Canis lupus familiaris: one gene and its partners. The protein of the gene in region 2 interacts with the protein of the main gene of each other region in a biochemical or structural test. Links are inferred from orthologs where the notes say so. Each region holds a gene or a part of one and is shown on either strand. Other genes may lie near its edges. The genes, in order: RAC1, ARFIP2 and ARF5.

Region 1 (9,503 bases), on a different chromosome or scaffold from region 2:
ACCACACTGAGTGTAGGGAGCCCATTGCAGGGGTCAATTCTCAGACCCTGAGAGATCATGACCTGAGCCAAAACTGAATCAGACGTTCAACCAGTTGTACCTCCAGGTGCCCCCCCAGTCTGCTTTCATAGCCTCACAACTTCTAAGCATGGGCCCGGGTCTACCGGGCACAGAAAAACAAGGGACCAGGAGTAGCAATCCCAGCTACAGCGTGGGAACAGAGAAAGCATTGCAACCACAAAACAGGTCCCGAGGCTGGAACACGACGGAGGATAACCCCTGAAGGTGAAAAGCATGAGCACTGGACTCCAGGGCAGCTGGGCAACAGCGCCCCAGCCGACAGAACCCACAAGCAAAAAGGCTCAGAGAAGCCCAGGCTGTGCAAGACGGGAAGAAATCTCACAGAGCTTATCAACATAAGTTCACTCCACACAACAGAAATGGCCAAGGAAGACCCGAGGGAGCGGCCTTCAAAACGGAAAGGAAACCATTTCCACTCCAGCACTTCGGACCAGCCAGGAAGGATCAAGGGAGAAGGAAGTTGTTTTCAAAGACACAAGGCTGAGAAACCCATTTCCCACACACTTACTTCTTTCTCAGGAAACTCTTGGAGGTGTTCAAGATAAAGCAAATTAAAAAGGAGTTGGCGGCATGTAGCTGGCTCAGTCATTTGCGCGTGGGCTCCTGATGCTGGAATTGGGAGTGAGGCCCACAGTGGCCCAGGGGATACGAAGATCAGCACATCAGGGAACAGTGGCCCAAGGATTCTGAGACTTTTAGGAAAATGAAATTTGTGAAACAAAATAAATCTACACGTTTGAGATTTAGATCACAGATGGAAGTTCACTTACTAGATCATTAAGCAAAATCGAAATTAAGCAAAGTACCAGTTATTCCTAAAAAAAAAGCAGTTGTGCAGCCAAGTTTTGTTCCTCCACAGCTCAGCAAGGAATATTCACATGGATACTCAATAGTGACCACCAACCAAAATAATTCTGTTTAGGGAAGGGAGTGGGGGGAGTTGCCACTCCAGGAGTATCTGTGGTAGCAGCTGAAACTGAAAATGCAACCAGCCATAAAGTGACTTAGCCTGACCCCCAGGGCCCGGGGCGGGGGGGCTGGAGACTGAAGCAAATAAATTGCCTGTGATTTAATTAACCGTGCCTATGTAACAAAGCCTCTAGAAAAAAACCTGTAAGAATGGGGGGTGGGTGTAGCTTACAGGCTGGGGAGCATGTGGAGATTTGGGGAGGCTCCATGCCCCTCCCCCATACCTGGCCCTAGGCATCTAGGCATCTCTTCCATCTGGCTGTTGGGAGTCTATCCATCCTTTCATAACTGGTGATCTAGTAGGTTTAAAAAAAAAAGGGCATCACTTAGACATATGGAGAGAAACAGTTAAAAGAACTCAAATTGACTGCCTTTGGGGACGGTGTGAAGAGAGAAGGCTGCTGTTTTTGTAGCAAACCTTTAGAATTACATGATCTTTTTTTTTAATTCATAAGAGACCCAGAGAGAGAGAGAGGCAGAGACCTAGGTAGAGGGAGAAGCAGGCTCCCCATGGGGAGCCCGATGCGGGACTTGCTCCCAGGACCCGAGATCATGCCCTGAGCCGAAGGCAAACCTCAACTGCTGAGCACCCAGGCATCCCTAGAATTATGTGGTTTTTAAACTCTTTAAAAAATACTCAAAGCGATCTTCAGAGCAATAAAAAGGATTACTTAAAAAACTGATTCTAACATGACCAGTTCATAGTACAGTTTCAGGCTCCAGAAAGAATCTGATTCAAAGTCATCATTAGCCTCTTCCCTATCAGGCTGCCACCGTCTGCCTCAGCCCAGAGCTCTGGCCCAGGATGTATGCACATGCACCCCAGTGTGGATGTCACCTAGGTCTCCCCAGCATTCAGGAGGTGCAGAACCCAACCTGATTCCCCAGCTCCTCTCCAGGAGGGGCCCCTTCCAAGCCCTCCAGTATGAAAACATGCACTGGGAATTAGGTTTCCCACAACCCAGGATTTTCAGGTGAGACAACCGAACACACCCCAGGAAATTGCTCGAGCTCTTAAGAATTCAAGTATCACAATCATATGATTCAAGGATTTATTAAGTCATACATGCAAAACATACTGCTAATTGCATTAGCAAAAGATCAATGTAAAAACACTCCACGATTCTGTAACTGTCAATTTAAAAAATGTTGTTCTATTTTATTGGTTGAGAGGTCCAACCTTGTATTCTTGCCAGTGGGTAAGTCGTACAGAACTTCGTTAGCACAAGCACGGGCTTACAGAATGTCACAGACCCAAGGGAACATGGTCAGGCAGGGCAACGGGAAGCGTGTGTCCGGGGGGTGAGGCAGAGGAGGGCCAGCGTTAGTCAGGGGACAGTATTGGTGATCTGGCAAGACAGTGATGTTAAGAAAGTTCATAGTTTAGGAATATCTAAAATATTTCAAAAACTGTAAAGCTGCAACACATGATTTTTACACCTAGTTACTAGAAAACTAAGGAGAGTGCTTATTAGCTTTGAATAAAGTAACAAGGAAACAGGAATGCACTTTACTAATCTACAAAAAAAAATTTCTAATGCATTATCAGAAAGATTTTATAATACAAGGAGGCATATTGCTCGTTAAGAAGGGGTTCTATAAGAAAAGCACTAAGTTAGCAACTATGGGTACAACCAGTTCAAAGATGAATTAAATGCCCAATTTCAGGAAGGATGGCAGGTCTAAGAAAAAGGAAAAGCTTAAAACACTTAGTGATAATACCGACCTTTCTTCATTTACTGCATTTGACAGAAATTAACCTTTTAAAATTTTACCCGTGACACTTTTATTCAGTTTGATTATGACGTGTACAATGTAGTGTAAATTAACCTCCGGATTTTGTCAAAATACTGTCTTTATCCTTTGATCGCGTCACGTGCTGTGCCCCCCGCCCTCATTGGAGGAACATGGGAGTGAGAGGTCTGTTCAAAATGTCAGCAAAAGCGAATACACTAACTTTTTAAAAAAATTTCACTACAAAATCAAAAAGACTGATCCAAAGAATTGAGTCATTATGCTCCTTCCGTGAGGACATACAGTACAGTTAGGGCGTGGCCACGGGCTTAGATGGCAATGTGGCAACAGCTCGAGGAGGCTGTGCGGCTTTCCTACTGGAAACTAGCAAGCACAGGTCTGCAGGTCCAAACCTGAGACACTGCCGTCTCTTCTGAAGGACAGGGATCTTGAACGGTTTAGTGCTTAGTGTTCTCAGCACAATGCAACTTAGTTCACAAGGTATTTTGGCAACTCTTAATCTGAGCAAGAATAGGGGCTTTTGAAAAATAAGGCTTTAAGAAAGCTGGCCATTTTAGGGCTAAATTTTAATGTGAAAGTTTGAAGTCTTACACTTTAAACAAAACCTAAAAATTACTGATTGGTTCAAATGGTTTTATGGAAAAACTAATCTGTAACAAAAACTTGGCATTGAGTGCGAAGGCTCCACCATTTTTGAGCAAAGCGTACAAAGGTTCTGAGGGGGATGGGGCAGGGGAACCCAACATTTACAACAGCAGGCATTTTCTCTTCCTCTTCTTGACGGGAGGGGGGCAGAGAACCGCTCGAATAGCTTCATCAAACACTGTCTTGAGGCCTCGCTGCGTGAGAGCAGAGCACTCCAGGTATTTTACAGCACCTGCCGAGAAACACAGCCTCATAGCCACATGTGGAGCCCACCCTTCTGTCCAGGAGGAGGGCAGGAAGCAGCTCCCCAGGCCCAGACTCCTGACAGCCCGCTGGGCACAGCAGAGCAACCCCTGACCTGCACCCGGAGCTCACCTACTGAGCGCTCACACTGAGAGCTTTGCCTGGCTGGCTCCCCAGAAGTCAACCATAGCCTGAGTCAGAAAAACATGCTCTTTACTTCCCACAGACTGGACTCCTGTCTCTGCCATGAAAATAAAAGCACGTGCAAAGCAGATGTGAAAATGCAGATTTCCTACCGATCTCCTTAGCCATGGCCAGACCCTGTGGGTAGGTGATGGGAGTCAGCTTCTTCTCCTTCAGTTTCTCAATCGTGTCTTTGTCGTCCCTGAGATCAAGTTTAGTCCCCACCAAGATGATAGGGGTGTTGGGACAGTGGTGTCGCACTTCAGGGTACCACTAAATGTAAGAGAGGAAGAGAGTCACCACACCCTCCCTGATGAACCTCTTTTGCCTAAATTACATCCCCACAGGTGTCAAACTGTCAGCCACTCCTTAGTTGCTGCAGAGTCCTCAACAAGACACAGCATCCCACCCTTCAGCCCTGCTCACCTTGCAATACCTTCCAGAACCACGGGCCTACCTGTGGGCATTCGAATAGCAAGCTGGGACTCCCAAGAACAGGCAAGGAGGGAACATCCCCCTCCCCCAAACCACTACCTCTTGGTAAAATGAGTTAAATTCTTAGATGGTCTCTTGAGAAACCTCCCTATTCAGCAAAAAAGTCAACTATCGACTGAGGTCTCAGCTCTGCCACCATGAGCCCCACTGAACACATCCCTGACCACAACTGGAGGACATCCTGCACATGTCATTTTTCACAAGTGACCAGGGCAGCAGTGGAAAGTCATGGTCACTATTTTTATTAGACAACCCCATCAGGCAGACTCCAAAGTGCTCACTACTTTAGCAAGGAACAAAGCGTTTCTGAATCAGGCCCTGAAACTTCAGAACTCTACATAATAAAGTCATATACTTCAAAACTGATTTGCTACCTAAGTAGAATTACAACATCAATTTAAATAATTAAAACTCCTATCACCAAGTGTTATTTTTGCTTCCCAAGGAGACATTACATAACAAGATGTTCCTCTAAAACATTCCCCACTTACCTTTGCTCGAACATTTTCAAATGATGCAGGACTCACAAGAGAAAAGCAAATTAAGAATACATCCTATAAAAAGGAAACAGGGAGGCGTTTAGAAATGGTCTTACAATGATGAATGCACTTTGCTTTGTAAATGCTGTTGGGAATGAATCATGAGACGAACTGCGTATATGTACCAGCAGCTTGTGTCTAAAGCTTGCTTCCTGGTTCCCCCCTTCAGTTCTGTCAGAAGGCTCCCAAACCAGAGCCAGCACATGAAGCAGCCAGTTACTTCTGAAAGGGGGGAGAGGATTTACTAGAATGTGCTCAAATTTACTGGAGGCCAGGGGGGACCTCAAATCAGAACCCCCAGAGGCTTCTTCTCCATCATTTCCAACTCCCCCTGGGAATTTATCCCCTCCACCCCGGAATTTAATGTTCCTATTATATATAGGGACAAAATCAAGCTACCACTCCAATATTTCTGTAAAATGTGATCTCCATTTATCAAAAGCAGAGTTGATTTTAAAAACCTTTATCAACAGTGTGCTTTTCAGTAAACTCCTCATGTGCACATTAAGTACATGTATAGTGGACCACTGGGGTGCAATTAAACTGCTGCTTTAAGAACTGCCACCAGAGTCCCTTGGCCCGGAGTGGGGCTCAGTGGTTTGCTCAGTGAGCACAACCACTGTGCAGAAGGGCAATCTTGTGTGTAAGTGGCCTCTCCTGGCTATCAGCTTCTCAATCCCAAGTGGGGTTCTCTGCAGGACTTAGAGCGTGCGGCAGTGGCAAAGTGGAGATTCAGAGGAAAAGTCAGTGCAGACTAAATACCTGGAAGATTTTCTGACTGAATGTAAAACATATCTCCCATTCTGTATTGTGTAAGAAGCCAAACTAAAATATTTACCTGTACTTAAAAATGCTTAAGAGTTTCTAAAATGCTAGGTTTATAAGACATTTTCCTGGAAAAAGGCAGCTATGCTTTGTGAAATGTACCCAATTCCCAAGCTAACACTTTCACCAATCCAGCTGATGTCTTGTACCTGGAAAGGGAGAGAAACATCCCACACAACAGCTTTTTTAAAATGACATTTTCCAAACGCTAGCGCATGCACAGGCTCGTCCAAGAATCACCTCGGCATTTTGGCACCTGATTACGTCACTTCAAAGCAAAGGTGGGTTAGCTCACCAGCACCGCACAGCCATGCCGCAGACAGGCCCGCACACCGGATACCACAGCGGAGGAGGCCCTGGCAGCCACGGTTAGTCCCCCTTGGGCTCAAGCATGGGCTCCATGGTGGGCTTGGGGCAGGGGGCTCCACACCTTCATCTCCAACCCGCCTGAAGAGGCCCCTTCATAAAAGTTCCTCCTTCCCCTTGGGAGGAGGGGAGCAAGCAGTTCACAAACCACTTTAATTCAAGCTAGTAGGTAAACTGTCTCGCTCTACTGAAAGCACATTTTATCAAACAAAACCCCAACCTTGAGTGAATTAAATTTAAAACACTCAAGGAACATGAGGCTCAACAGGAAATTCTGGGAAAACTAAGTGAAATGAGAGAACAGATAAAGCTTGAAACTGAAGTGGATTGAAAGTTTTACATACGGCAATCAGCTTGTCTTTGCCCCTGGAGGGTATATCCTTACCATACGTTTCTCCAACCTAGTAATGCATGAGAACTTTGTCTGAGTTTAGTAAAAACTGAGGAAAATGCAAGTCAATATAATCCATTATTTCTTCATCAGAATTGTCTCAACCCTCCTAAAGGATCTGAAAGCAACTGACAAATACCACCAAACAGTTCATCAAACCCTGTGAAGGTCAACGAGGGTGAAGACAAGATGTCAGGCAGATATGGGGAAGGAGGGGGGCACTCCTTTCTAGCCATGGCAGCGCACAGAGGGTGTGCTTCCAGCAGAAGCCACAACACGCCTGAGAAAGCACACGGGTCACGTCCAGGTGAGAAAGGTTAAGGAAGCACCCTTCCTTACCGAAGGGGTATCCCTGTGCCACTGCTGGCTCCCACTGGCAATAGGCACACCTGTCACAGCTCTCCATCCCAGGTCTGAGACCTAAGCCCAGCTGAAGCCGCCGCACGCAGGAAGAGCACCTGTCTGTAAACACAGGCCTCTCAGACGAAGCACTCCCCAGGAGCACGGCCCAGTCAGAGAGCTGTGAACACGGCCAGCCTCCTGTGTGCAAGTGCTGGTCCTCTCTTCCCCCAAATCCTGGGAATGCAGTTTGGATTTAGGGGCCTGAATTACTGGAGTAAATGCACTGAGACCTTTAATTCCCCCCCCCCCCAGCTTTGGAGGGGAACGCCCAGAAGGGACAGCATTTCTCATGTTTACCACAGTGCCATCAATTCATTCCTTTGTTCCGACAAAAATCGGAAAGACTTGCTCTTCAAGCAACACAGAAACCTACAATTTTTTTTAAGAGACAGATGGACAAGAGAATTTTTTAAATTTCATCTCATTTAAGTCTCTCTGATCTACAATTCTAACAACATGAAAGTTGCCCTAATTATCCTGGGTTTAATCTATGGGCGACTTTTGAAGATCTGTGCTCCCAAGGCCTTGACATGCCACCAAATATTTATTGTGACACAAAAACTCCTGGGCATTGGCCACAAAAATGCAGCCTCAAAATATCCTCCAACCATATCTGTTCTACCCTTTCCAATTTTTAAGAACATTTTTTTTGAAGAAGAAACATGCTTTCCATCCTACATTAACATTACGCCATCTGCCTGTTCCTTTCTCCTCCTCCTTCCCCCAGCCAAAATATGGCTTTAAAAAATATTTCTAGGGGGATCCCTGGGTGGCGCAGCGGTTTGGCGCCTGCCTTTGGCCCAGGGCGCGATCCTGGAGACCCGGGATCGAATCCCACATCTGGCTCCCGGTGCATGGAGCCTGCTTCTCCCTCTGCCTGTGTCTCTGCCTCTCTCTCTCTCTCTCTATCATAAATAAATAAAAATTAAAAAAAAATATTTCTAGGGGCACCTGGCTGGCTTGGTCATCAGTTAGGCATCTGACCCCTGATTTCAGCTCAGGTCATGATCTCAGGGTCATGGGCTCCACACTGCCTGCTCAGGATTCTTGCTCTCCCTCTGCCCCTCCCTATCCTCTAAAAAACAAAAAAAGCAAAACAAAAATCCTAAAAAAACTAGTTTTCCTAAAAAAAAATTAATTAAAAATAAATAAAATGTCTTATGCTTCTGACACTTATCTCTTCCAGCAGCAAGTCTTTCCCACCTCGGCCTTCTAAACCAACGCCCTGCACAGAGTCCACGCTGCTCATGGCTGGCAGGGCATCTCCATGTTAACGCCTGTCCTCGCAAACCCCCGAGCTCCAAAGCAGGGCCTGGCCTGCTCAGCCTTCCTCCCAGGGTCACCGATGTGCTGGAGCCTCTTTACTCACCTGAGCTGTCCTGAGCCACAAGCTTACCTCTCCTCTAGCTGCTTTCCCCATGCTGGCAGGACACTTCTGACTACACATGCTCCCACCCAGCCCTCATTACCTGTGTATCACAAAGCAGGTCTCCTCCTACATGTGTGAAGGGGGACCATAGAGAGACGAGTGGCTCCTAGCAGGATATGAGCAGACAGACTGTGGGGTGGTGGGGCTCTTCTAGATCCTCCTCTCCGAGGCCTTCCACCTGGCTTTTACTTTCAGACTTGGAATATTTTTTACTACGGGTATTCTATGAACTGAGAAAAGCAGCATGAGACACACAAACAGGGCAAAGACACTACGCATGTGGCATCCAGGAGGAGCTAAGAAAACATGCTCTGGAGAAAGCGAAGAGCAGCCCTGACACCTGGGAGCCAGCCCAGTGCTCACAGCTTGGTTATGGCAAGTTCCCATTGAATGGGACCATCTCCCAGAGTGCTGGGGTTAGAAGAGGTCACTATTTGACCATGCTGGCATGAACACAAAAATAAAGAAATAAATAGAAGAACACTTCACAATCTTGTCTAACCTCAAATACAAGGTCACCGTACAAATTATAAAAACACCAAACATCCCCCTCTCCCAGACAAGGGGACTGCATGCCTATCTCTGCACCAGTCACGGCTTCATCCCCACCTTGTAGAGGAGATTAGGGCATCCCTAAAACTACCCTGCTTCTAGCCAGCACCCAATCCAGAGCAAGTTCTGCCTTCTCGAGCCCCCAGGTGGACGTCCGGCTCAGGGCAGAGAACAAACCCAATTTCTTTCAGCCACAAGTGTGTTCCCAATAACCTCTGGCTGGAGGACACAAATCCTGTAACAGCCAATTTAAAGTAGAAAGCCATATGAAAATCAAAATAGCTGAGACACCTGGGTGGCTCAGAGGTTAAGTGCCTGCCTTTGGCTCAGGGAGTGATACCAGAGACCCGGGATCGAGTCCCACATTGGGCTCCCTGCATGGAGCCTGCTTCTCCCTCTGCCTCTCATGAATAAATAAAATACTAAAAAAAAAAAAAAAAAAAAAAAAGGCCAAGCTAAATGCTACTGTTTTTCTTTTTAAGCATCAGTAAGCAGCCTAGCCCTTCTCAAGGTGAGCTCACACAAACGTCCCGGCTGACCCAGGCACAAGAGGCCCGGCACGTCAGCCAGCAGGCTGGGTAATGTTGAGCTTTCTCAGAACCCACACAGAGCTTGTTGTGACTGGCAA
Region 2 (10,248 bases):
GGAATGGGAAGAGCCACAGTATCCAACTGTTTTAAGAAGTTAAGCTGTAAGGTGGAAAATAATAGTACCTAGAGAGGAATAAAGGAAGTGGTTTGTTTGTTGTAACAGGGGAGTTTCTAGCATGTTTGAACGATGGTGAGAATAGAGTGAAATAGGAAAAAGTCAGAGATTCCCAAAGAAGGACTAGAATTCAGAGCAGGAATAGGCATTGGCATGTTTGCCCTGCTTAGATGGAGGGAATGAGAGAAAGATGCAGATACAGGTGGGTGACCAAGTTTTGTTGTGAGATTTTGTGGTAGCTCCCAACTGTCAGCTTTTTTTTTTTTTTTTTTTTTTAACCTATGAATTAAAAAATAAAGTTACCTGCACAAAATTGAAGAGAATAGTTAGGGTAATAACAGGCTTAAGAATATTGATTCAAAAAAGTCATTGCAGGGAGCATCGGAGACTGGAAAAATCTAGTGGGATTATAGGGGTTGAGACTCCATTTGATGCTGGTAACCACAAATTCAGTGATATAAATCTGCTCTGTAGTGATTTCCTTCAGCTTTTAGCTGTCCAAATGCAGGCAGACAAATACCTCATTTTATCTGAGTCCAACAAAGAGATGACAAAAAACAGGAGTAGCCTGTTCCAAGAGAATGACTGGAATTTAAGCTGGATAGGAATCTAAAGACAGAGGTGTTAATGGAATGAAGGTAGAATCAATGGTTTGAATGCTCCAGCAAAACCAAAGAATAATAGTAAAGGAATAAATCAATAAACAAAGTGGAAGGAATAGTCAGTAAATAGTGTATTAAAGATGGAGCAGTTTGGGGGAAATGACAATGGCTAGGACATAGCTAAGGGAGTGGGTGGATAAGACAGAGTGGAAATTATTGAAGAATGAGAAAAGGGACTGAGAAACCAAAATACTGAATGGACTATCCAGTAACATTAAAGTACCAAGGGGTTGATAGGAAAACCAAGGGCTAGCCATTTCGAGGAAAGTAGGAGAGCAGTGGTTCCTAAGGACCAGTAATGAGGAAGGGTAGTATAGTTCAATAGGCCCAAAGGAATCTGATTTTGCAAAGGAATAGGCAGTTAAGTTCTGAAGTCACAATGGCAAGAACATCAACTCTGTCTCCAAAATGATGTGATAAGGGATAAAGCTTTGTTAACATTCTTGTGTCGTGGGCAACCCAGGTGGCTCAGCAGTTTAGCGCTGCCTTCAGCCCAGGGCCTGATCCTGGAGACCCGAGATCAAGTCCCATGTCGGGCTCCCTGCATGGAGTCTGTTTCTCCCTCTGCCTGTGTCTCTGCCTCTCCCTCTCTGTATCTCTCATAATAAATAAATAAAATCTTAAAAAAAAAAAAAATTCTTGTGTCATGCTTGAAACATCACACTGCTTTCATTACGCCAATGGACGTCACTTTATGATGAGACCTGAGGAAGATGTCAGTGACTACAGGAGATAGGTAGCAACAGTAGAGTTCTTCTACGTACTGAACGTATTTATAAACAGAGAGGGAAGAAGAGGTTAAAAACTTAAGGGATTAATTGATGGATACTTGTTTTTTCATCCCTAGGGACAGGCTGGGTGCACATGAGCAAACAAATATAAATTCTGGAAATTCAAAGAACATAGCCTCTAGAGTCAAGACAGATCTTTCTCAGCCCTGCTCCAGCAAGTAGTAATTATGTGACATGGAAACAGATGATTCGCAATGGAAATTTACTGCAAGGATACACGCAAATGTCCACGGAAGAGTCCTCCCACCAGCAGCACAGTATTCAAGGTCTCCATTCCTGTCTTGGAACTGGTTAAGTTCACAAGCTGCTTTAGCTGAAGTTTTACGTTCCAAGGAGAAAATTTTAATGAGTAGACACAAACCCATTCAGTAGGGAATTTCCTGGTCAGCAGCTTGTACATTCCTAGCAACCATCTGTTGAAGATATAGGAACTAAAGAGATGAAAAGCCATTTGGAGCAACTTTTCTCAAGAGGTAACTACGTAAACATGGGGCTCTGATACATTCTGGATTCTTGCTTCCTCATCCATTAAGTGGGGAATAATATCTCTTACTTGTAGTTTTGCTATAGATTAAAATAGGGATGCCTGGGTGACTCAGTGGTTGAGCATTTGCCTTCAGCTCAGGGTGTGACCCCAGGGTCCTGGGATCGAGTCCTGCAGCAGCCTAGGGAGCCTGCTTCTCTTCTGTCTCTACATCTCTCATGAATAAATAAAATCTAAAAAAAAAAAAAAAAAAAGGCTGAGATAAAGCAGGACATATACCAGCACTGGAACCCATACAAATCAGATGGCTCAATGGTATTTTGAGAGGCAGCCTGGTGTAATAAAAAGTACATGGATTTTATTTTTTTAAAAAAGATTATTTATTTATTTATTTACTTATTTATTTATTTATTTATTCATGAGAGACAAAGAGAGAGAGAGGCAGAGACACAGGCAGAGGGAGAAGCAGGCTCCACGCAGGGAGCCTGACACAGGACTCGATCCTCAGTCTCCAGGATCACGCCCTGGACTGAAGGTGGCACTAAACCACTGAGCCCCTGGGGCTGCCCAGAAGTGCATGGATTTTAAAGCCAGATCTGTATCTGTATCTTAAAAAGATATTAATATCTTAATATTAAGATACAGATTAATATCTTAATCTGTATCTTAATAAAGTCTGCTACTAGAGAATTTCAACTTCCTGATCCACATAGGGGAAAAAATGTCTGCTTTGTGGGTAGTTGTAAGGAGTTTTATGGGAGCCAATGTCTAAGAGCTTCCATTTCCTCCGTAAAAAATGAAACATGGTCCCCTGATGGAGGATAGCTGAACGTGAAATGGGGGATAAGAGCAGTGAAGGTGTAAACTAACTGCCTTGGTGATTAGGAGACAAAAATATACCAGGAAGCCACAAAGGGTTGCTTGTTGGTTGACGCTGGAGACCTTGAATGGTTAGTGCCACTCATTACACAGCTGTGTTTTTGTCTAGCAGTCTGAACAGAAGAACAGTAAAGGTAAAACAGCTGGAATGATACAAAAAGGACACAAGGGAGGCAAGAAAATGCGGTGATGGGGTGATAGGCCATTTAGAATGGTGGCACAAGTAAATTTTATGAGGGCAATAAATGAGAGAAAGATAGAGAGGCTCAGCATGGAAATAACAAAACCGGGACAATGAAAACAATGATGGGTAGAGGACAGAAGAGCTGGAATTAGATTATAGACTTGGAGGTAACGATAAAGAGGTCCCAAGGATTTGTTTTATCTTTTTCCCCATAACCATCATCATCTATTTCTCCCCTGAGCTTTTGTTCCTTGGGTCTGGCTATATTGTAGAATATGGTCCTCCAAGTTCCCCCTTTCTGACTGCTCCTGAAGACAAGCACACAGACCTTCTTTGTGTAAAAGCTTTACTGCTCATCCTGGGGAAGACAGAAAATAATAAGAAAATAACAACTTGGGAAAATGGCTGAAGTTCCAGAACACCCCGAAATCTTACAGGTTTCATTTCAGTTACGGGGCTACTGACTTTCCAGAAGGCACTGCATACAAAAACCCTGTGATTTCTTGATCTGTTATTCTTAGGTATCTCCTCCTTCCCCTAAATTTAGGAGAATTCTTTAGAGCCCATGAAAAGAGTTATAAATGAATGCACACCCAGCTCACAAATAAACCATTAAGTCAGATTTAAGTGAAGGACAACAAGAAGAGCTCTTATTTTCTCTGCCATCTGGGCAGGAACCAACTTCCTATTGCTATTACTAACATTAAAATCGTACCACAGGGGTGCCTGGGTGCAGTTGGTTAAGTGTCTGTCTTTGGCTCAAGTCATAATCCCAGGGCCCTGGGATCAAGCCCCGCATCTGGCTCCCTGCTAGGCCCGGAGTCTGCTTCTCTCTCTGCCCCTCCCCCTGCTCATTCTCTCTCTCTCTCTCACATAAATAAATAAACAAAATCTTTAAAAAAAAGAAAGAATTAAGTAAGATGCACCTGGGTGGCTCAGCCATTGAGCGTCTGCTTTTGGCTCAGGGTAGGATCCTGGGGTTCTGGGATCAAGTCCGGCATCGGGCTCCCCACAGGGAGCCTCTGCTTCTCCCTCTGCCTATGTCTCTGCCGCTCTCTGTGTGTCTCGTGAATAAATAAACTCTTTACAAAAGAAAAAATTGTACCCACAGGCCTTGTTTTAACCAGGTGCCAGGAAATGTTGAGGTTTTCCTTCTACACATAGAAGCCAATTTCTCCACTGCCAGGGCTGAAGCCAACAGATATGCGCTGACAGGATAAAGGATGGGGCCAATAAAGCGGGCAAAGCTTCCGTGCCCAGAACATAAATCAAACAGTGCAAAAGTGGGTTTATTGGCTCCAAGAAAAGGAGCAATACTACCCAGCTGTCAGACAACCCCTCACTCTATATATGGGCTGCATCCAGCCCAAGGTCCACTGGCTCCTTCAGTTTGAGGGTCCATCCAGCGCCTCCCTTCCTAGCTGCCTGATGGTGAGGTTCCGGGCTGTTCTGCAGCAACACCTGGCCCAGCTGAGGCAGCCTCGTAGTCTGCGATGCGGCGCTGTACCAGAGCCGGCATGAGCTGCACGTAAGCGGCCATGAGGCGGTGGTTGGAATGGATCAGCTTCCCAGCACAGCTGTGCAGACAGGCCTCCTGGAAGGAAGACAGGGTGAAGCATTGGTGTCCACTGGTGTCCGTCCCATCCCTGGCCCAGGGGCAAGGGTCATGGAAAGGCCCGGGCCAGAGGTAGGGGCGGTGGAGGTTGGGGACAGTCTACGGCGAACCCCACCTAACCTCTTCAGCGTCCAGAGCTCGGTGGTGCAAGCTGGGCACGCAGCGCTGGAAGCAGAGTTCCGTCATCCGATTGTAGACCAACAGGAAGTCCCGCAACTAGGAGAGAAGGGGACAAAGAGCCCAGCGATAAGGGGGCACCTCGAGGCCGCGCCCTCGAGGTTTCCCAGGACGGCGCGCCAGAGCGCGACGTTCCCAACCCTCCGCCCTCCAGCCAAACGGACGAAGATGCCAGCTGAACTGATGGCCCCGTCGCGACTTAGCACCCACTCACGTTCCTCAGCTGCTGCTGCTGCTGCTGCTGCTGCTGCGGCTCCATCGCGCCACCGGCGCACGCACGTCACTTCCGCACAGCCTCTTGGTAACGCCCCGGAAGTGACCTCTCCTGGCTCCCCGGGGACTGAGGGGTTGCCTCAAGGATCGCCCCGCCCCTGGCTTTAACGTCATCTCCGCCCTTATAGTCTGCGACGTGGCCGGCTTCTTCTGCCCGGGAGGGGACGTCACTTCCGCCGAGTCCCTGACCTGCTGCTAGGATCGCGACGGGAACTGGAGCCCGAGGTCCCCGCGCGGCCCGGGCCTGGCGCCCTGAGGGGAAGAGCGGCCCGGCCCGAGGTGAGAAGGACATACTTGGGCAAGGGGAAGTTGAATGCACGAGCCTGCCCCGAGGGAAAGATGCTACAGAGCCCTGGGGAAGGATGAGGACACACCTGATGCCCAGGTGTGGGGTGGGGGGGGGGCGGGGACTAACACACCTGGGGGACATAACTGACTTTGGAAGGGATCACTATGTGCTGGGAAAATGTGGCTTTTCCCAGAGGCCAAGAACGGACACCAACTGATTCAACTAGGGCCTGCAGGGGGAGGGCTGCAGGAGGAGGGGGTGCATGGGATGGAGGAGGGAGAGACCACCTGAAGGAAAGGGGAAGCAACCCTAAGGGAGTGTGAGAGGCCAAGCAATGGAGAACATACCAGAGCGGGAGGAGTAGGCTCCTGAGCCCTGGAAAGGGGTTAATCTGATGGGAGGAAACAGCTGCATGGGGGTAAGTTCCAAAACAGCACAGACTTTCTCTCCCTTGGCCACTGCTGTGACCTCAAATAGTAGTCTGTTGAATGGTTGAACGCATGAGTGATCACCTGAGTCCTGGTGGGGTTGGGGGTCCGTGAGAAGATACTGGGGACCTGGGTGTGCATGTGGAAAGATACACACCCTGGAGGGGAGAAATACATATCTACGAGAAGAAAGGAGTGGTGGCCGAACCCCAGGATACTCAAGTCTTGGGACAACCTCTAAAATCTCTGAAATGGTGGGGGAGACTTTTCTTTCGGGAGTACTGGCTAGTTTCCAGAACTGTCTGTGTTGGGCTTTGCAGGGCGCTGGGGTGGAGACTTTGACTCCAATCCCTTCCCTAGCCATGACGGACGGGATCCTAGGGAAGGCAGCCACAATGGAGATCCCCATCCACGGGAACGGTGAAGCCGGGCAGCTTCCTGAGGATGATGGGCTGGAGCAGGTGCTTCTGTTTGATTCTTCTCCATATTGTTTCAATTTAGGAGTCCAAAATCATAAGCCCTGGGCTCTCACCCCATTCCAGGAGTTTTCCCCTAACTTATCTAACTCCCTCCAATCTTTACATATCTTCATTCTGATTCTATGCAGACTTCCCTTGTGTGCTCTCTCTGTGATGCTTCAATCCAAGCTTGTTCTCACCCCCCAAATGCTTCAGCTGCCCCAATGTTCCTGAAGCCCCCCTCTTCTCTGGCCTATAGGACCTCCAGCAGGTGATGGTGTCAGGACCCAACCTCAATGAAACCAGCATTGTGTCTGGTGGCTATGGGGGCTCTGGTGATGGACTCATCCCCACAGGTATGAATGATCAGAACAGGACAGGAAGCTTGAATGGACAGAGGGAGTGGAATGGTTCTGGGGAGTATAGGATATGCCTAAGATAGCTTGAACTATGTCTGGAGATTTTGGGAACTCTTGCTAGTACAAGCCCAATGGACTCTACTCAGCCCAAGGCTAGAGCCTAGGGCTGTCCAACTGCTCCCGCTTGCCATTTAGCCCTGAGATGTGTCCATTTGTCCTTTCTTTGCTGCCACCACCTGAATCACATTACGAACTGTTTTGCAGAAGTTCTCCTGCTTTGGAGCTTGAGACTTATTTGGAACTCTGAAGCTTCTCAAAGTTTTGCTTCAGATTCTCAAGTTTAGAGAAGCAAATAGCCCTGAATTTCACACTGACTAGGATTCCACATGAGAACGTCAATGAGATTTCCTATTGTCAGGAACCCACCATCCTTGACCTGCCACCCAATACTCAGCATATTTTCTTCTGTTTTCTCTGCCCCTGTACATCAGCAACTCCCTCCCTCCCCCCACTCCAGCCCCCATCACCATCTCAGGAGGAGGCCAGATATATATTGGGATTTGGGTTTCAGGGCACAAGGTATGAGTTCTTCCTAGTGAGTAGGAGAATTTCTAGTTTCTGCTACTTCAGAGAAGTCATTTTCATGGTGGGAAGTCGGTGGAAAGTCATTTCATAGTGGGGTCGGTGGGAAGTATGGGTGGAGCCACAGAGATGTCTGGTTATATCAGAGAGGCTGGTGTCAAAGAACTTGGTTCTTTAGGGTCTGGCCGCCATCCATCTCACAGTACCACTCCTGCTGGCCCGGGAGATGAGGTGGCTCGGGGCATCGCTGGAGAAAAGTTTGACATCGTCAAGAAATGGGGCATCAACACATATAAGGTGGGATTTAAGCACCTTTCCCTTTCCCCTTCCCCAGACTTCCCCTGGGTACCTTTTCCCCATCTTCCAGATTCCACTCTCCCATCCTTGTCTGAGACGAGGAGCCTTGGGATGCTAGGGTAGATACCTGTTGGGGGGGCAGGGTGCTAGGGTCTCTGACCTATTCCCCCACTTCCCAATCAGTGCACAAAGCAGCTGTTATCAGAGCGATTTGGCCGAGGCTCCCGGACTGTGGACCTGGAGCTAGAGCTGCAGATTGAGTTGCTGCGTGAGACGAAGCGCAAGTATGAGAGTGTCCTGCAGCTGGGCCGGGCACTGACAGCCCACCTCTACAGCCTGCTGCAGACCCAGCATGCACTAGGTGACGCCTTTGCTGACCTCAGCCAGAAGTCCCCAGAGCTTCAGGTGCCTTGGTCAGGCCAAAGAGGGTGGGGGGACTGGGCCCGGGCCCTCCCAGGCAGTCAGCCCTCAGCCTCCCTCCCTCCCTCCTGCAGCCCAGAGGGAGAACCCCTCCAGGGTAGGCCCAGCCCTACCCCCAGCAGCACTCACCTGTGGAGGCAGCCTAAGGGTTTGTACAGAGGTTCAGAAGTTGGAGGGGTGGGGGAGGCGGCACACTAGATGCCTCACAAGTAACCCTTCTCTGCATCGGTGCTCGGCCTAATCAGAGCCCCCCTCCCCGCCCCTTGCCTGCTGCACTAGCTTTCCCTGTTCTCGTCCTGTGAACTTATCTGAGAACCCACTCCCATACTCCTACCCCAGCCATCCCCGGGGTGGCCCCAATAACTTTCTGGCTAAGAGAGCCTTGCTGGAGCAGTCCTTGGTTGTTCCAGTTTTGATGGCTCTTTCCTTCTGGGGGAGGAGGGGAATGAGGGCCCTATAGCTTTAGTTAGGTAGGAATTGTTGCTCAAGGCCTATCCTCCCCTTCTGCCCTCAGGAGGAATTTGGCTACAATGCAGAGACACAGAAGCTGCTGTGCAAGAATGGAGAGACACTGCTAGGGGCTGTGAACTTCTTTGTCTCTAGCATCAACACTTTGGTCACCAAGACCATGGAAGACACTCTCATGACTGTCAAACAGTATGAGGCTGCCAGGTGTGGGCACCAGCAGGGCCCAGGGTTTTGGGAGTTGGCTGGCATGGGTGGAAGTTTGAGGTCATAAAAATTGTGGAAGGAAAGGAGAGTATGTGTGGAGGACACAGGGGTGGAGACCAGCCTGTATCACCCCTTCCCCAGGCTGGAATATGATGCCTATCGAACAGACTTAGAGGAGCTGAGCCTAGGCCCCCGGGATGCAGGGACGCGTGGTCGACTCGAGAGTGCCCAGGCCACTTTCCAGGCCCATCGGGACAAATATGAGAAGCTGCGGGGAGATGTGGCCATCAAGCTCAAGTTCCTGGAAGAAAACAAGGTGCCAACCCCACCCCTTTGACCCTAGCCCGCCTTCCCATTTGTAACACTGACCTACCCCTAAGACCCTCCCCATCACTGGATGGGGAAATGCAGCCTGGCTTACGGGTGGGATCTTCCCCCAACCCCTTTAATTCCTGGACCTTTCTAGTTACCCACCCTCTAGTCCCTGGCCCTTTTCTGTTGGAGGATTTGACTGCTGGTCCCAGGAACATAACTGGGGAAAAATCGTCCCTTGAGCTGAGGTACCAGAACCCCAGGCCTGGGCAAATCAAATCAGGTTTCTCCCATCAGATTTACCCTTATCCTTTGACTCCCTTAGTGGAGGTCAGCCCCCACCCTTAAAGCACCATCAGAGCAGAGTCCATTTACCCCTGGTCTGGGCTCAGGCTCAAGAAGGGCATCTGAGTTCAGTCTCAGCTGACCCTGCTGGACCCCCAGATCAAGGTGATGCACAAGCAGCTGCTGCTCTTCCACAATGCCGTGTCAGCCTACTTTGCTGGGAATCAGAAACAACTGGAGCAGACCCTGCAGCAGTTCAACATCAAGCTGCGGCCTCCAGGAGCTGAGAAGCCCTCCTGGCTAGAGGAGCAGTGAGCTGCTTCTAACCAACCCTGGCTATCAAGAAGGACATTGGGAGAGGCAGTCCCAGGGTGGGGGAGATTGGACATGGGACCTCCCTTGCCACCTGCCCTCTGGCTTGGGTTCCGTTTCCCTGGCTGGGGCCTGACACCCAGTTTTGCCCACACTGCTGTGGGTAGGGAGGGGGCTTGCAGGGCCAGCAGCTGTTGCCCTGTCCTTTATCTTCCTGGCCTCTGGGCTTCATTCCCAGATCTTTTCCTTCCACTCCACAGCCAAAGGCTATGACAAAACCACTCCTTGGCCAATGGCATCACTCCTCAGGCCTGTCCCCAGCTCCTGGGGTGTGCCCCCTGACCAATGGCAGAGCCTCAAAGGCCCTGTCAGCCAATGGCAGCTCTTCTCGGGCTCCCCTGGGCCAATGACGTTGCCTCCAGTACCCTTTGTCCCTCCTCTATGCGTCCCCATTGCAGAGAAGGGGGGACTGGGACCAAAGGGGTGGGGAGAATGGGGAGCCCCATTTCTGGCCCTGCATCTGAATGGGCTTCCCCTCTCCTACCCACCCAGTTTAATTGTGCTTAGAGCCCTGGAAGATTGGGACCTAGCACTAGGAATAAACCTTTCATAAAAGCAGGCCCAGTGAGGTCAATTTGTGGGGGGCTCTAGGAGGGTGGGCTGGGTGGAGAAATGCTCAGTCTAATCATACACCCAAATCCTATCAAGC
Region 3 (10,159 bases), on a different chromosome or scaffold from region 2:
GGCTCTTGACCTCTACTCATTGTGATGACACAACCACCCAGTGTTGGGGCAGAGGGAAGAAAGCAGCCAGAGAAGACAAGGCAGCAAGGGCTGAGCCTTTGCCCCTCAGAACAGGTTTAGAGAGGAGGAGACAGAGAGAAGGAGACCTGTGAGCAAAATCCTGGGGTAGGAGGGTCTCAGCCTAGTAGTGACAAAGGCTAGGAAAATGATTAGGTTGAAAGTGTACCCCAGGCACCACACACTCACACACATATGAAAGAAAGAGAGAGAGAGAGAATGTGAAAGAGCAAGCTTGGCCACTGGGAAAAACAACTCCAGTACAGGTTTGCTTTGTTACCTGTCTCCGGCCCAAACCCTTTGCAGTAGCCGTGACCGTATTCTTATAAGCCTCAGAAGTGAGGTAGGATCCTGCCCAGCTGATGAGCCCAACCCTCAGCTCCTCAGGGTTGGGTCTTCGTGTCCACTCCACCTCATCCATGGGGCCGGCACCACAGGTGATGACTCTGTCCGGCCCTGCCTTCCCCCCAGTGGTGCGGTTCCACAGGCCATAGGGCCTGGAATCAGGCCTGTAGTACCCACCAGAAGAAGTTCCCGGAGAGAATTTCTCAGGCAGAGGCTGGCCTAGGGCCCAGCACCTCTGTGACCCGGGAGCATTGTGACTGTGAAGGCTGCCTCTTATCCACAGTGAGGAAAGGGCACTGGCCTGGCAATGTCAATCCACAGCCCAGAGGAAGTAGGTCTAGGGCTTCTGGCGTTAACCTCCCACGCAACTCCAGACACCAAGGTAGGCTGAGCTGAGACTGGGAATCAGAATTTTGGCCTGTGCTGGTGCTCACCTGTGACTATAGGCAAACATCGTCTTCACTTGTTTCCCATTTTAATCACAGGATAAAAACCAGCCTCTTTCATCCCTAGGAAGTAACTTCTGCTTGGCTCCCTTGGGACTCAAGTGTTTTTTAAAGTTCAAGATATCCAGGAAAAATCTATTAACTTTTACAGCCCTTGGGAGAATGAGGCCAAAATGTCTCAGAAGGTACTTTTCAGGAAATGTGAGGAAACCCTAGATAGATAACCAGCAAGGATCAAATTACTCATATTCATCAGAAAGGGCTAGCTCAGAGCAGGGGAAGGAAAATGTTCTAGATGGGAAGAGCACTGGGCATCTCCCTCAGAATCCCCAGCTGCACTGCTGCTGGGCACATGGCTAGTGCACCCTTTCCTTCAAAGGGTCCCTGTTGGCCAACAGCCTCTGGGACTCACTTCTTACAAAGCTCATGGAGAAAATCAGTCCAGAACCTAGAGAAATTGACATGAAAGGAGAAAGGCAAGAAGAAATAATGGTGGTGATGGTAGGTTTTAAGCTTTGCTGGGATTCAAAGAATGGATAGTGTGAACCACACTTGGACAATAGCCCACCCTCCTGGTTCCATACATACATTTTCCTAGGCCTCCGTGGTGGGGGTGTGGTAGTACAGGGCAGGGGTGTCTTCCCAGGTAGGAGGTCCAGTGCACAGTGAGGAGCTTTCACCCCCAAGGATTAAAAGGGTCCTACCAATGTTTTATAAAATAAGGCTAAGAGACTACTAGTGACACAATCACCAGTGTAATTTTAAAGATTCAGATTCTTGGGCTTCAGACCAGTCCTTATGAATCATATTTCTTGAAGTACACCTCAGGACCGTATTTTTAATAAATATTCCCCCTCCTCCTCCATATTAATGTTCATAGTAATCATTAAGAACCACTGCTCTAAGTAGCTAGGAGATAGAGAGGAACAGAATGTATGGGATTTACAGATTCACGAAGGTAGAGCCTGTTTACTCTCAACAAAGCTCCCCTGGAATTGGGGAGGGAATGTGGTACCTGAGGTACTTGTACCCTCGAGAATAAGGAGGGTGAAGCTGAGCTATATGAAGGCAGCAGTGTGTCCGCAGGCACGCTGGTGGGAGGGTTGGCGCCTACAGCCTTAGCTGCTTTGAGTCTCCCCCATATCATATTGTCTCTTTGTACCCAACAACACCCCCCCCCCCATTCTAGGCTACAGACAACACTGTGTAGAAACCACAGCAAATTTATTACTCAATATCCATCATAGCACCACCCGGAGCCCTCACCTCCCCTCCCCACCTGGCCCCAAGGGTACACCCAAAATGGAAAAAACAAAAGTAAACCCAGATCCCTGCTCCTCCTCTGGAAGAAAGGGCCTCAGCCCTGGAAGTCCCTTCCACAGTCCGAGCAGGCAGGAGAGCAGACCCCTCCGTGCCCGGAGAGTGAGACTCCAGGCTCAGATGACAGAGACAACATGCAGGCAGGAGCAGGAGCAGAGGCCTGTGTCTGTGGGAGAGGAGTGGGAGGGAAGGGCACCGCCTGAGGAGTCCGGGAATCTGGTTGTCCCGGGGATGCACGCGGGAGCTTCCGGGCAGCAGGGGCCGGCCCCTGGTTGGTTAGCGCTTTGACAGCTCATGGGACAGCCAGTCGAGCCCATCATACAAGCCTGTGCCTTGGGTGGCACAGGTGGCCTGAACATACCACTGCGGGGAAAAGGAAAGAATGATCAGCAGCAAGGAAGAAAAGGGGATGCCCTGACTTCCCGCCCCAGCCTGTGGCTCCCTTGGGAGAGGGAGCACCCTCACCGTGCGGCTGCGCAAATGCTGCAGCCCCAGCTTGTCGGTCAGCTCGCTCACAGGCATGGCGTTGGGCATGTCCTGCTTGTTGGCAAACACCAGCAGCACCGCATCCCGCAGCTCATCCTCCTGCAGCTGAGGGAGGTGAAGGGGATGGAGTCTGGAGTCCTAGCGGAGTCTCCAGGCTTCCTCTTCCCCACTGTGTAGGGGAGCACCCTTTCCTACCTCCTACCAGATTTGTGGGAAAAAAAAAAAGTAATACTGCGTAGTCTACTGCTGAACACAAGACAGAGTCATAAATCAGCTTGGAGCCATTTGGACTTATATCCAGAAAGACCCTTTTTCTAATGACTTGCCCTAGTCAAAATGACATTTCCAAATGGGAAAACAAGAATGTAAGATGATATTTCTCTCCACCACATATAATTCCTCCTTTCCCCACCAACTTCTCAGATATGAAGACATGAAAATTCAAGGAAAAAGTCAGTCATATGCCTTTCACCCAACTCAAATTCAAAACAGGGTGAGATACTCCTTGTGTCTGCATCCACAAAGGGAGACATTCAAAGCCTGTAAGCTATTTCCTGACTTTCATGTTAGCACAGAGATCTCAGAGATCTGTCTCCAACGAGGGCTCAGCAACCAGGGCTCTGGGTGCTCACCATCTTCTGGAGTTCATCAGCAGATTCCTGGACCCGCTCTCGGTCATTACTGTCCACTACGAAGATGAGGCCCTGGGTGGGAAGGAAGAAAAGACAAGCAATCACTCTCACCTGGGACATAGCCTAGTCTGGCTCTTTCTCTTTTCCCCATCTTTGTGTCTAAACCTTCTCATCTAGTAAATTTTCACTAAGGTTCTGCAGACATGCTGGCACAAACTGGCGACACCCTGCGAAGGATACAGACTCTGCCCTCAGGCAAGCAGTGTAGCTAGAAGAAGTGCAAGGGAACAGGGAAAGATGAGACCAGAGCTAAATGAGGCAGCATGAGTGCACCCAGCTGGCTCAGTCAGTAGAGCATACAACTCTTGATCTCGGAGTTGTGAGTTCAAGGCCCACATTGGGTGAAAGCTTACTTTAAAAATAAATAAATAAACGAGGCCACATGGCCTCAGATCCCTGCTTCTCAGGAGATGCATAAGGTGGCTAAGTCTCAGAAGACTATGGCCATTTCTGAAGGATGAATAGAAGCAAGCCTACAGATGAGAACAGAAGGAGGTTAAGGTTTTTTTTTTTTTTTCCTGGCTTGGGGGCCTATGCCAACATCTTGGTTTGGAGCTCTAACACCTTTTCTCTGGGGGTTGGGGAGCCCCACCCCACCTGAGTGTTCTGGAAGTAGTGCCGCCACAGAGGCCGAATCTTGTCCTGGCCTCCCACGTCCCAGACTGTGAAACAAATGTTCTTGTATTCTACTGTTTCCACATTGAAGCCTGGAGATAATGGGGAAAAAATATGAGAACAAAGTCCTGAAAGAAAGGAACTCATTAAATCTGGGTGGATTCATCAGAGACATATAAAACCAGAAGGCAACGACGAAGTCCCATGGGAACAGAACCGCAGAGGACCGGCAGTCCACAGACCAGGCGGGGCTAGGTCACATTCACCCTGCCTCGGCACCATCCAGCAACTAAAGGTAACTGTGACCCACTTCTCAGGTGGCAGTGTCTGGTGTCAGGGTCAGCTCACTGCACGGAGATAAGGGCCTCAGGCAGAATGGGGAGCAGCCCCTGAGGCGGCCTCCCATCAGCCTCCCGCTCCTCCCCGCCTCGCCTCAGAACTCACCTATGGTGGGGATGGTGGTGACAATCTCCCCCAACTTCAGTTTGTACAGAATTGTGGTCTTGCCAGCTGCATCCAAGCCAACTGCAACGGAGAGGGGCATAGGGATGGAGACGGGAGCGAGGGAGCCCTCTAGAGATCAGGGAAGGGGAGAGGCCAGGACAGCTGATGGAGACTGGGGCGGAGAGCCCTAGCGCCTGCAGGTGCGCGCTGTCCTCCACCTTCGAGGCCTTGAGAGCAGTCTGGGTGGTGAGCACCAACTCGTGCCCCGAAGCGGGCGAGAGGCGGGAGAGGGGTAGGGGTAAGGGGTCGAGGAGGAGGGCTGCGCTCCTCTTAAAAGTCGTCTCCAAGGGCGGAATCCTCCCTTCTTACCAGCCTGGCTGGGGCGGAGGGAGCTTCACCCCACCCAGGCCCGCAGCTCCCGGGCTCAGGCCCCGGGGTCGGCGCTGCAGATCGCGACCCGCCCGAGAGCAGTGACCGCAGGGGGGTTAGGCGGCGGGTGACTCGGGTTCAGAGACCCGGCTGAGCTGGGCTCGGAGGGACGCGGGGGCGGGAGGGCTGCGCGGGGGCCGACGCTCCGGTCCGGGCCGCGCGCTTGATCTGCCTCACCCATGAGGATCCGCATCTGCTTCTTCCCGAAGATCCGCGAAAAGAGCGCGGACACGGTGAGGCCCATGGCGGGGCCCGGGGGAGGGGGTGCGGGCTCGGACGCGGGGTGCGGGCTGGAACCGGCCGGCCGCTGGGGGATGGGGCGCAGCAGCAGGAGGAGGAGGCTCCGCCGCCGCCTCCGCGCGTCCCGGCCCGCCCTACGTCATCGCGGCCCCGCCCCCGGCCGGGCCCCGCCCCCGCCCCGCCCCTTCCCCGCCCCCAGGCTCCCGCTCGGGCTAAATCTGAAGCTCAGCGAGTCTCCGCTTGCTCGCCGCGTCCCGCGCAGGCTTAAAGAGGGGAAGGGTCTGGGTTTCCCCTCGTTTCTCGAGGGCCGGCAGATCTGTGGCTGCTTCACCGGCAGCCCGAGCGGGGCCGAGGAAAGTTTACAATGCTCCCCAACGGCCCCTGACCCTCAGCTTAAGTGGCCGGCCTCTCGGGCTTTGGTTTGTCGCGTCCAGCCCACCCTGCTTTCTGGTTTAGTTAGCTCTAGCGAACTAGCACCATCCACTGTATGCACCACCCTCCTAGGGGAGCGGAAGCTCTGTGATGCGTCTTAGTCTGCTTTGGCCCCTCAGCGCCCAGAGAGGGGCTTTGAGCGTTGCAGGTAGTTCAAGTGACTGTAGAATCTCGAGAGGAGTGAGAAAGAGAGGTGGTGGAAAAAGGGTGTCCAAGCGCTAGCTGGCCTTCTTGGTTTTGCAATCAGCATGTTGTCCTGCATGCTGGACAACAACGCCTTTGCGTCGATGGCCCCGGGCACAATGCTTTTCAGTAGATCCAGGCAGCTTTTCTGAAGCTTCTTCACTTTGCCAGAGACCTGGGAACCCGGATTTTTAATGCACACCTATCCAGGAATTTATGAAACTCTTGTGGCTTTAGACTCAAAGTGCTTCGTAAGTAATTTTCCCACTCAGCAACCAAGGGGGAAATAGCAAGACAGGAATTAATTTAAATTGTGTCTATGGTTGAGAGTGGGTCAGTGCCAGGCACCTAATATATGCTCAATAAATACAGTACTTGCTGGTTTGAATGGACTAATAGGCTGCTCAGTGGAGCAAGGACAAGCAATTTGAAACTGGATTGCCAGGAGGCTTCTAGGATCAATTGCTTAGGGACTGGACATGGTGAGGGGAGCTGAGAGTCAGAGAACCTTTATTCATTCAGTCACTCAACAAATATTGAATGCCCACTATGGACCATTGTTCCAGGTCTCAGTCAAATCTCAGTTCTGTCCCCACCCACCCCCTCTTTTGGAGGGTTTAGCTTCAATCCTCACAACTCATTTATTTTCTACAGAAGGAAACTAATATCTGCCCTATCTAATGAGGTTATGGTGAAGATTAAAATGATAATATATCTGTATGTCTGTATGGTGCAGCTGGATGTTATCTGGGCCACTAAGAAACTAATTAGGTCTGAATAGACCTCCAGGGTCTGCCCCATCCTGACCTGAAAAGTCTGTAAAGAGAACAGACTCTGGGCACTAGGTATGAGTGAGTCCATGACTTTCCTTTACTCTTCAGCCATAGACTTGCGTTCCTAAGAAGGCTTTTTACAAGGTTGAAGAGTGCATTTAAAAGAGTCTCGATATAATAACTAGTGACCGAGTCAGGTCAGTTCTACAGCTTTTTTAGCTCTTTTAATTAGCTTCTTCCTTTGCCCTATTGTCATTGCCCTATTTCATTACCATATCCTCTTCCTTAGGACAAAAATAGTGTCCTTACCAGTCGGCTGCCCCTTGGTATCTTCAACCTGTCATACAAGTCTGGATGATGCCACTCAAGATTAAAATTGTTTAGTGTCTTCTTAGCACCCAAGATAAAATCGAAAGGCCTTAATTTGTCTCCACCTATTGTGCCAGCCCCATCTGTTGCCACCTCCTTCACATACCCTAAGCTACTGCCATGAAATGATTCTCAATGCTTCCTGGGTAAACCAGCCTCTCTGATGCTGTAGGAGTCTGTTGCAATCTTTCCCCTCTACCAGGAATGCTTGTTTCCCTCATCTTTAGTTAGATGGACAATTGCTACTCATGCTTCAAATCCCTGAGTATTTTCCCTGAGAACATTCTCTGCCTCCCCTAGACAGGCCGCCCTCCTCTTCACTTCCATGTCACTTTGAAAATCCCCATACATACTGGTATCAGAGCAGGACTTGTGTTTGTAACACTAGATAGAAGAAGCACCTTGAGGACAGGACCTTATCTCTTCAGAGTGGTCACCTGGAGCAGCACTTGGTGAGAGTTAGACACATATAGGTAGAATTCCTAGTTGTGTGACCTTGGGCATGTTATTTAACCTGTGTCTCATGTTTCCATCCACTGAGCAGAATAACTCCAAGGGCTTAATATCAAAACTCTCGTGAAGGTCCTGGAATACAGTTGGCACATACGATGAGGGTCATGGCCATAGGGTGCTCTCTACAGATATTTGTTGAATCAACTCAGCAGAACTCAGGAAAGGTGCTAATAATTTTTTTAAAGATTATTATTTTTAAAACTTACTTATTCATGAGAGACACACGGGGCGGGGGGCGGGGGGGGGGGAGGGGAGAGGCAGAGACACAGGCAGAGGGAGAAGCAGGCTCCATGCCTCCATGCCTCCCTTCAGGGAGCCCGACGTGGGACTCGATCCCCAGACCCCAGCATCACGTCCTGGGCTGAAGGCGGCGCTAAACCGCTGAGCCACCCGGGCTGCCCAATGTGCTAATAATTTTTATACTATATACCTAATAGGTGCCAAAACTGTCCTATCAAGGCTTACAGTTTTCGTGGTCTAAGTGGGAGTCTTACTTGTTGATCTTTAGCGACAGAGCTAAATGTGGGGAAGCGTCGCTCATCCGGGTGTTTGAGGAGGACCCAGCGTGACGCTGCGCACTGCTCCTCGCTCATCGGAGCCCGAGGGTGGGCTCAGGCGCCCCCACCATACCATTATCACTCCGGAATCCGGGCTTGGTGGTCCGGCGCTCGCAGCCGCTCTGAGCTCTGAACAGGCCGCCTCCCACCCACCGGCCGAAGTAACTCCACCCGCCACGCGCCCCCTGGGGGGCGGGGCCAGCTGCGTCACGTGTCGTCACTTCCAGCGGACCCGGAAGCGCCGTTCTCTGGCAACTGCGGTTAGGAAGTGGGGATGGGATTGCGCTCCGTTTAAACTCTTGGCCGGCCGTGGGCTGAGGGCCGGCCGGGACTGCTGTGGCCTGGGCGAGCGCGGAGCGTGGGGCGGCTTCTGGGACAGTACAGGCGACCTCCGCCGTGTGCTCCTGGAGCCCGCGTCGCCCCGCCTCTAGGATCGGACCCGCCCCCGCCCTCGGTGCCTGGGACCCCGCGGGCGCTTCTGCCCGGCTGCCCAGCGCTCTGCATCCGGTCTCCGACAGCGGGGAGGAGCGGGTGTGCGGCTTCGGGGACATTCCGTCCCTGTCGTTTACTGCCCCCGCCAAGGTCTCCGCGGGCCTCTTCTGACTGACGTCGAGCAACCCGTCCTGAACATGGAGAAGTTTGGCATGAATTTCGGGGGCGGACCGAGCAAGAAGGACCTGCTGGAGACCATTGAGACGCAGAAGAAGCAGCTCCTGCAGTACCAGGCACGTCTCAAGGATGTGGTCCGCGCCTATAAAAGTCTACTGAAAGAGAAGGAGGCTCTAGAGGCCAGCATTAAGGTGCTGTCGGTGTCCCACGAGGCGGATGTGGGCCTCACAGGCGTCCAGCCTCCAGGCCTCTCTTTCCCTGACTCTGCGGATGACCGATGCTCCACTCACAGCGAAGATAGCACTGGGACAGCCACGAGCTTGGATACTGCGGCCAGTCTCACCAGCACCAAGGGTGAGTTTGGGGTAGAGGATGACAGGCTGGCTCGTGGCCCACCACCTCCAAAGTCCGAAGAAGCCAGCGGATCAGAGAGTGGCGTTAGCAGTAGCAGTGGAGATGGAGCATCTGGGGGTGGAGAAGTGGACAAACGGCTGCACCAGCTGAAGACTCAGTTGGCTACTTTGACCAGCTCTTTGGCTACAGTCACCCAGGAGAAGTCTCGCATGGAAGCTTCTTACCTGGCTGACAAGAAGAAGATGAAACAGGACTTAGAGGATACCAGTAAAAAGGCAGAGGAGGAGAGGGGCCGTCTGGAGGGAGAATTGAAGGGGCTGCAGGAGCAGATAGCAGAAACCAAAGCCCGACTTATCACCCAGCAGCATGATCGGGCCCAAGAGCAGAGTGACCATGCTGTGATGCTTCGTGAGCTCCAGAAACTGCTGCAGGAGGAGAGGACTCAGCGCCAGGACTTGGAGCTTCGGCTGGAAGAGACCCGAGAGGTCCTGGCGGGGCGGGCATATGCAGCCGGTCAGATGGAAGGGTTTGAACTGCAGACCAAGCAGCTGACCCGTGAGGTGGAGGACTTGAAAGGTGAGCTACAAGCTCTTCGAGAAGAGAAGAATCGGCCAGACCCTCGGCTGCAGGAGCTTCAGGAAGAGGCCGCTTGCCTTAAGAGCCATTTCCAGGCTCAGTTGCAGCAGGAAATGAGAAAGGTAATTATTGTCATGTCCTTCAAACATTAGTCATTTAGCCTGAAGTGGAAAACATTAGGGTTTTTTCTCCTTTGGTAATTAGAATTAAGTGGCTGCACTGTTGATTTTTGATGCTATTCAGAGTGTTGCACTGGGAAATATGGGAAATCCTGGAAAATCTGTTCCGTGGGGTGTTGACAGTATCCACAGAATGCACTTCCAACAGGATGTGGACTCTATTAGTGTAAGGCTGGTTTGGAGCCAGACGCCTCTGAACTTCTGGGCAGTGGCATCTTACCAGCTGTGCTCTGTGGAGCATTAGAGTGGCAGCTGTGCGGTGAAAGGAGTGTGTATGCCTACGGGTGTATGTATTATTTAGGTAGTGGTATATGCCTGGGGGATCAGGAGGTGCAAAAGGAATCTTCTCAGAAGTACCCTCTTATAATTGCTTCTCAACAGTTTGCCTGTTTAGGAAAGATGTGCTATTTTACAGTGCTCCTTTCAGTGTGGAGAGAGATCCAACTGAGTTGTGAACTTCTGAGAATATTGGGAGAGGAAAAGAATGTCATGTGATTTCTTAGTAGGATTTGGGGAAACATGATAAAGATAATACGCTTC

What was found.
Region 1: the proteins of ARFIP2 (region 2) and RAC1 form a complex in vitro, tested with the Homo sapiens proteins (2 studies listed by BioGRID and IntAct, with this or other methods). The link is inferred for Canis lupus familiaris from reciprocal best matches to the Homo sapiens genes ARFIP2 and RAC1.
Region 3: the proteins of ARFIP2 (region 2) and ARF5 form a complex in vitro, tested with the Homo sapiens proteins (2 studies listed by BioGRID). The link is inferred for Canis lupus familiaris from reciprocal best matches to the Homo sapiens genes ARFIP2 and ARF5.

The regions. Positions count from the first base shown.
Region 1 is NC_049227.1:11,835,223-11,844,725, reverse strand, and holds the end of RAC1 (ras-related C3 botulinum toxin substrate 1 precursor), read right to left. Parts: intron 4,926-9,503; coding exon 4,863-4,925; intron 4,150-4,862; coding exon 3,990-4,149; intron 3,683-3,989; coding exon 3,552-3,682; 3' UTR 3,414-3,551; downstream 1-3,413. UniProt on the Homo sapiens protein: Plasma membrane-associated small GTPase which cycles between active GTP-bound and inactive GDP-bound states.
Region 2 is NC_049242.1:30,301,334-30,311,581, reverse strand, and holds ARFIP2 (arfaptin-2), read left to right. Parts: upstream 1-5,253; 5' UTR 5,254-5,404; intron 5,405-6,162; 5' UTR 6,163-6,204; coding exon 6,205-6,303; intron 6,304-6,559; coding exon 6,560-6,656; intron 6,657-7,419; coding exon 7,420-7,538; intron 7,539-7,721; coding exon 7,722-7,943; intron 7,944-8,472; coding exon 8,473-8,630; intron 8,631-8,771; coding exon 8,772-8,946; intron 8,947-9,386; coding exon 9,387-9,542; 3' UTR 9,543-10,158; downstream 10,159-10,248. Other genes in the region: TIMM10B (mitochondrial import inner membrane translocase subunit Tim10 B), read right to left, coding at 4,478-4,654, 4,796-4,891, 5,067-5,111. UniProt on the Homo sapiens protein: Plays a role in constitutive metalloproteinase (MMP) secretion from the trans Golgi network. May have important functions during vesicle biogenesis at certain cargo subdomains, which could be predominantly utilized by secreted MMPs, such as MMP7 and MMP2.
Region 3 is NC_049235.1:8,596,244-8,606,402, forward strand, and holds ARF5 (ADP-ribosylation factor 5), read right to left. Parts: upstream 5,185-10,159; 5' UTR 5,079-5,184; coding exon 5,012-5,078; intron 4,487-5,011; coding exon 4,406-4,486; intron 4,054-4,405; coding exon 3,944-4,053; intron 3,359-3,943; coding exon 3,287-3,358; intron 2,760-3,286; coding exon 2,634-2,759; intron 2,532-2,633; coding exon 2,445-2,531; 3' UTR 2,054-2,444; downstream 1-2,053. Other genes in the region: FSCN3 (fascin-3), read right to left, coding at 338-478; GCC1 (GRIP and coiled-coil domain-containing protein 1), read left to right, coding at 8,531-9,562.